Linked DNA regions of Tribolium castaneum. The protein of the gene in region 2 purifies or fractionates together with the protein of the main gene of each other region. This does not show direct contact. Links are inferred from orthologs where the notes say so. Each region holds a gene or a part of one and is shown on either strand. Other genes may lie near its edges.

What was found.
Region 1: the proteins of Sf3b6 (region 2) and Phf5a purify together in Homo sapiens (affinity purification with mass spectrometry; 4 studies listed by BioGRID and IntAct, with this or other methods). This does not show direct contact. The link is inferred for Tribolium castaneum from reciprocal best matches to the Homo sapiens genes SF3B6 and PHF5A.
Region 3: the proteins of Sf3b6 (region 2) and U2A purify together in Homo sapiens (affinity purification with mass spectrometry; 5 studies listed by BioGRID and IntAct, with this or other methods). This does not show direct contact. The link is inferred for Tribolium castaneum from reciprocal best matches to the Homo sapiens genes SF3B6 and SNRPA1.

Annotation. Positions count from the first base shown.
Region 1 is NC_087395.1:6,324,750-6,326,720, forward strand, and holds Phf5a (PHD finger-like domain-containing protein 5A), read right to left. Parts: upstream 1,197-1,971; 5' UTR 1,044-1,196; intron 1,003-1,043; exon of another isoform or gene 995-1,002; 5' UTR 984-994; coding exon 651-983; 3' UTR 614-650; downstream 1-613. Other genes in the region: uncharacterized protein LOC655475, read left to right, coding at 1,419-1,467, 1,515-1,718, 1,766-1,971.
Region 2 is NC_087395.1:21,528,280-21,530,331, reverse strand, and holds Sf3b6 (splicing factor 3B subunit 6), read right to left. Parts: upstream 1,148-2,052; 5' UTR 1,019-1,147; coding exon 989-1,018; intron 938-988; coding exon 602-937; 3' UTR 547-601; downstream 1-546. Other genes in the region: mutS protein homolog 5, read right to left, coding at 1,164-1,637, 1,678-2,052.
Region 3 is NC_087395.1:21,925,516-21,928,094, forward strand, and holds U2A (U2 small nuclear ribonucleoprotein A'), read left to right. Parts: upstream 1-789; 5' UTR 790-875; coding exon 876-957; intron 958-1,003; coding exon 1,004-1,151; intron 1,152-1,201; coding exon 1,202-1,554; intron 1,555-1,609; coding exon 1,610-1,735; intron 1,736-1,784; coding exon 1,785-1,819; 3' UTR 1,820-1,921; downstream 1,922-2,579. UniProt on the Homo sapiens protein: Involved in pre-mRNA splicing as component of the spliceosome. Associated with sn-RNP U2, where it contributes to the binding of stem loop IV of U2 snRNA.

The DNA.
Region 1 (1,971 bases), about 15 Mb from region 2:
ATCACAATAAAGAAATAGTCTGTCTTGGTTATCGAGATTTATTTAATACCTTACTAAACCAAAATTATTAAAAAAATAACGTTTGTAAACTTAAAAATGGGTTGTGTTCAATAACTTATACCATTTCTAACTTTATGATAATTTTTGGTGGCTTGTTTGTTTCTAAACATTCACTAAGAACTTGATAACGATAAAATATTGTTCGCGGTAGACGAAAGTCCGTAACTGAATCTGAAGCGCACACGCGCTTTAAATAAATCCTGGACTAGTTCAGGATTAGTTCTAAAAACCTTCCGCGAACAAAGCTGATAACATATGACGCTGACACTAATAAATCCTTCAAAACATGTCAATTTTTGTCATTTTTTCGAAGACAAAAAGCCGCTGCCATTATCAAAATCATATGATGGCAGTAAAAAATATTGTAGATGGCACACATGAATATGAAATTTTGTCTATTCACAAACATTATCATACTCGGAATTGCCTCGCGCGTTAAACTACTTTTTTTCCTTGATTTTTTCATTATAGAAAACTAGGAAAACAGTGCAAAAACAAAATTAAAAAAAAGATTTTTTTTAATATGATAACAGGAAAATTGACTGACTGATAATAAATTTTATGATTTATTTTAATTACACAAAATCACATTAGCGCCGCTTAAACCCGTATTTCTTACGCTCATAGAAGAGGTCAGTCTTCGAACTACCCAGATTCACAATTTTGGGGCACCCATCCCTGTCTTTCTCCTGAATTGTGCATTCCTTACAGTAGTAAGCGTCTGAAATACCTGGACCTCCACAAATCACGCATCTGCCCTGATACGAACCGTAGTTACACTCGTCACAAATCCTCACTAAAGTGCAGGGACGCACGTACGAATCGCAAATAACGCATTTTCCGTCACACTTCTCACAGAGCCTCCCTATGGCCACCCCCGGCTGCTTGCGACAAAAAATCAAATCGGGGTGATGCTTGGCCATGCTTCAGTGATCTACAAATCTTGTTTCAACAATACTGTTATTCCAAACTCAGGAACTTACCGTAAAACGTGAGAAAACGTTGAGCTTTGTTTCGAGATTTGTTAGGTTATGTGTACAACAGTTGACAGTTGAACTGGAAGTGTCGACAGTTACGCCAGCTAGACGTTCTTATTTTCGTGTCAAATGATTAATTAATTGTCGAATTTTGATTTGAGTATTACGGAAGCACAAACTAATTTCTATATAACTTAAGAATCGTGACCACATTCAACAAATAAATAAATAAATTTAAATTTTGACACCAGACACTAGTAATTTCATTTCATCAAGTTGCTGAGTTCGTTAAGTTGGCAACACTACTATAAAAAATCAAAAAGTGATTGATTCCCTTTGAACGTTAGGCTCCAATTTGCCGAAACTGAAGCGATTTCAACAATGAATTCGATGTTTTCCTCACCCGCAATCCACGTTTTCTCCCAAGAAAGTGAGTATTTGATGTTCGGTGAAATAATCTTCAAGTGTCGTTTTTAGACGTTGGAAGTGTGGCAAAAAAGCCAAGAACCACTAACACCCTATCAAGAAAACCGTTTTTTGATCGAGCCGTGAATGCAAACACGCCTGATTTTGGCAGAAATGTGAAACCCGAGCCGCAACTGAAAAAGCCTGAGCAAAATATTGACATAGAAGATGATGACTTATTTATTTACGACACTTACTCCTTCAAGGATATGAACGGTTTTCACCGAGATTTGTGTGTGACGAAATCTGATTTCTGGTTTTAGATGATTGCGCTGCTGATAAATTAATTACTGCAAAGGAAAAATTCAACAAGCTGCGACCATGTTGTGGTTACAAGGAGTTGACTCCATCTCCAAAGTTATCACCTGTTGATTTTGATATGTTTATTAAGATTCCGAAAACTATCAAGTTTTCTGTAAAGTCTGAAGACAGTTACGACATGACCGATGAAAGTGAGCACATTTCACTG
Region 2 (2,052 bases):
TCAGTAAAAAATAATAAATGATCAGTATTTAATTAATTTTTGCACAGTAGAAATAATAAATGATCAGTATTTAATCCATTTTTACTCAGTAAAAAATTTAAATGACAAAACCACGCACAGTATTTTATTAAAATTTACCCAGTAAAAAAATCGTATATGCACAGTATCTAGTTTCAGTTTACACGGTTTAAATAATAAACGCTCAATAGATAGCCTGCAGGCTGGGGCTTCGCCCCATCGAACTAAAACGAAACATATCCCGCGAACGATTTTTGAGATGCTATTATCTACTGTGCATTTATTATTTTTACTGAGCATTTACTATTTTTACTGAGCATTTACTATTATTACTGTGCATTTATTATTTTAACTGTGCGTTTATTATTTTTACTGTGCGTTTATTATTTTTACTGATCAAAAATACTTGTCGTTTAAATAAAATACTGTGCATTTAATTTGTACCCATAAAAAAAAACTCTTAGCAGACTCACCCTGAATTGAAAGGGAATTTAAAGGGAGATTTAATTGCGTTAGATATAAAAATCATTCTCATTGTAATTATTTATTTAAAAAGCTTAAAATTATGTACAATACAATATGTTTACGTATTAATTCCGTATTTTGATTTCATCTTATCAATCTCTTCCTGTTTCTTCTCAATATCGGTCTTCTTGAACGCTTTACTCGCCTGATAATACAAAACCACTAAATACCGATTACAAACATTAAAGCCGGACAAATGGTCACAAGCGTTTTTTGCGTCAAAAATGTCCTCATAAACCACAAAAGCTGTGCCTCTAGTTTCCGGGGTATTACCGACGCGGATTTGCCTGATAGCCCCATATTTACCGAAAATATCGTACATTTCTTCGGCTGTTATTTTATAGGGGAGATTGCGGATGTAGAGAATTCGGTTGATTTCTGGGGGCAACCTAACCTATAAAAAAAAACATTTTTTGGGTCAAATTTTTGGTATTTAACGACTTACGTTTGCCTTTCTTTGCATAGCCAAAGCCATTGTGGCGTTTTTTTAATTTGCTTCAATGAATTAAATACAAAAACAAACTCACACAAACGTTTTTATTGACTGAACAACACGATCGCCAACGTAACACGTACCAACCCAACAATTAACAAAACTAAAGCGGGATATTCAAACACAATTATGCCTCATCTGGTTCCGGAATATTAACATCTTTTAAAAACGCAATCAACGCACTATCATTAACGGAAGCCGGATAACTCTCACAACGGACTAATGGCGTGACTGTTTTCTTTTTTTCAAACAATTCGTTTGCCCGTTTGATAATACTCGCATCCACGCCAACTTCGGCCGCAATTTTTATCGCAAAACTCCTCGAAACACCTTTCGCCACTTTATAAAGGAACAAAAGTGTCCCATTTTCCTCCGAATGTGCCATTTTCAAATATTCAACAACACCATCTTCCGGTAAAAAATCAGAAATGCTTTGGTGGTGCGTCGAGACAAGTATGTGAGGGCAGTTATTGCCTTGTTTGTGAAAGTCGGCCAGAAAGCCGACCAGTAAAGCAAGTCCATCCTCCACGGTGGTTCCCCGGCCAAACTCGTCCAATAAGATCAGAGAGTTGTGGCGCGCGTTATGAATCGCTTGCGTGGCCTAATTTACGATTAATTTTTTCGCAAAATTTTATACAGACCTGGATTGCGTCAATCATAAATGCAGATAGGCGCACGGCTGCCGATTCCGTCGCTTGCATTCTGGAATGTATGCAATGCAAAATCCCGATGTTGGCGCTCCTGGCAGGCACGTAGGAGCCAATGTGGGCAAAGTAAATAACGAGGGCTACTTCCTTCAAATACACACTTTTGCCACTGCCGTTAGGCCCCGTGATTATTTTAATGTGACTGTGGTGATTCCCCGAGCAAAAGTCATTGGGCTCGAAATTTGAGACCAGCTCGAGGAGAGGGTGACGACACTCGCGGATTTCGTGCATATTTTGGTTGTTTAAAGCAGGTCGGACGTAATTATTTTGTGCCGAGACTTTCGCTATTGCTATCAAACTAAAAATTGT
Region 3 (2,579 bases), about 400 kb from region 2:
TCTTCAAGTCTCATTAGCTCGGAAAAGTCACAAGGAAATTTTCTTCCAGATTAAGAATGGAACGAGTTTTATCACTCATCGGCGCGTAATTGGTGTAAGTTCAATGGAAATAAACCCGTTCGGTTTGGATAAACATTTGTGACGTCAATGAATAATTTGGCTCTTGTTTTTTGCTCTAAGGGGAAGTGAAGAAGACAATGGCTTGATTCGTTTCACGAAATCATTTTTTGATTAATTAATGACGATGCGGGGAATCCGACAGATAATAATACTTCAAACGTACATTCCACACATTCATTGTGTTTTTCTTATTGTTTAGCAACTTTTTTTAGCCAGAATTAGCATATTTGTGACCAACACAAATCGCTGAAATAAGTGTTGGCAGACGTGTTTTTGTATATAGTGAAGCCTTTGAATCCGAGCCATTTTTGTTTGGGGTTTTCCCGATTATGAAATTAATTTTTTCTTACCTAATTAAAATAAATAAATAACTGAAGCAGGACTTTTTATTACAAAATACAATAATGTAACATACGGAGTATATTATCAAATTATCATTATCAGCTGTTAACAGTTAAAAGTAAGTTTGTTTTTCGGGTTAGAAGGGGTTCGGATTAACGACGTTTTCCTGTATTTTTTCATATTTAGATTCCATGTTTTGATACAAAAATTAAATTATTAATTATTTGGTCCCAATGATTGATATTTATTGCTTCATCTTAATTTTGGAAATTTTTGGAAATTCAGGGAAATTGCGTTTGGGGCGCTCTCTACAGGTATTCGTGTAACAATTACAGAAACCTGTAACGGTAGTCGGTGAAATTGATGGCTTGTGCGTTGTTTGTTTAATTGTAATTTTTCGCTAAAACCTAATTATGGTGAAGCTAACAGCCGAGCTGATTCAAAATTCCATGCAATACATAAATCCGGTAAAAGACCGCGAGTTGGACTTACGAGGTGAGGACCAAATGTAAAAAAGTTGGGTTAAGTCATCTTTTTTTAGGTTATCGCATCCCCGAAGTGGAAAATCTGGGGGCCACCGGTGACCAGTTCGACACAATTGACTTTTCGGACAATGATGTGCGCAAGTTGGATGGTTTTCCGTACTTGAAGCGGTTGAAATGTTTGCTTTTTAACAATAACCGTATTGTGTAAGTTGTGGGGTTTTTTCGTTTTTTTTTTTTGAGTTTTGGGGTTTTAGACGCATTGGGGAGCATTTGGAGGAGTACATTCCTAATTTGGAGACGCTGATTTTGACTGGGAACCACTTGGAAGAGCTGGGTGATATTGAGCCGTTGTGCACTTTGGAGAAGCTCACCACAGTTAGTCTTTTACATAACCCTATCACTTCCAAGCAGCATTACAGGCTATACCTAATTTATAAGTTACCGCAGTTAAGGTTGCTCGATTTTCGTAAAGTCACAGCTAAGGAACGGGAAGAGGCGAGGGCTCTGTTTAAGAGTAAGAAAGGCAAGGAGATTAGGAAAGAAATTGGGAAAAGGGCAAAGACGTTTATTCCCGGAGGTACAGGTAACAGTATTGCCAAAAGTAAAGGTACGTCTTACATTTTCTGTGAGTTTTATTTTTTCAATTTAATTATTTTTTCAAGGCCTTACAGACGAAGAAATTGCGAAAATTCGTGAAGCTATCAATAAGGCCAGTTCTTTGGAAGAGGTTGAACGGTTACAGAAGATTTTACAGTCTGGTCAAATTCCTGGTCAAGAAGAAATGAACGGTTAATTTTTTCTATGATTTATTGTGGGAAATGTAATATTTTTTTTCAGGATATCAAAATGGACAAAGTATGGAATATGAATAAGTTTGAGGTAATTTTCAGTCAGGTGTACAATTAATTAGTTTTATTTATAAGTTCCGGTTGATAAGAGTATTGTACTACACTAAATACAAGGTTGAGAAGCGAGCGGAATTAATTTTTCATTTTTTCTAATAAAGCAATACGTACAATAACTGGGTATTATTTCAATCTTTCCCGACTGAAACAATGCCTTTCTGGCAAGATTTATCTGTTTCAGAAATTAATTGAACGAAATAAGCTAACAACAAATTTTGTTTTGCAGCTAATTTTTCGAAGAAAATTAGTTTTTAGTTTTCACAGCGAGCAAAAGTAATGTTAATTACAGAAATAAACCAGTTTTTTAAATTTTGCGGATTTTAAATTTGTCTGTAAACATGTAAAAAATAAAAAATTGTTTTTATCTCAAAACCGTCTTGCGAATACTTTTTAGTGGCTACTCGTGTCATTTTAAGAGCGCCTTGGAAATTGTGTCTAAAGTGACCGAAATACTTTTCAAAGTGTGTGGTAATAGTGGTTTTAGAATATTTCAAAGTTCAAATAAATTTTTTCATTTCAGAATGTTTTAGTTGATTTGGAATTATTTCTATAACAATTCGCGTCACTTATTTTATCTTTTTAATTTTTCATAATTTATTTGTTGTAGTTTTTTACAAAAAATGACTAGAAAAAATAGGTATACTTATTTTTGTTGAAATGAAAAATACAAAAAAGTACATTGGCATTAATAGCGTGAATCTAAATTTGTTATTTAGATTTTTTTATT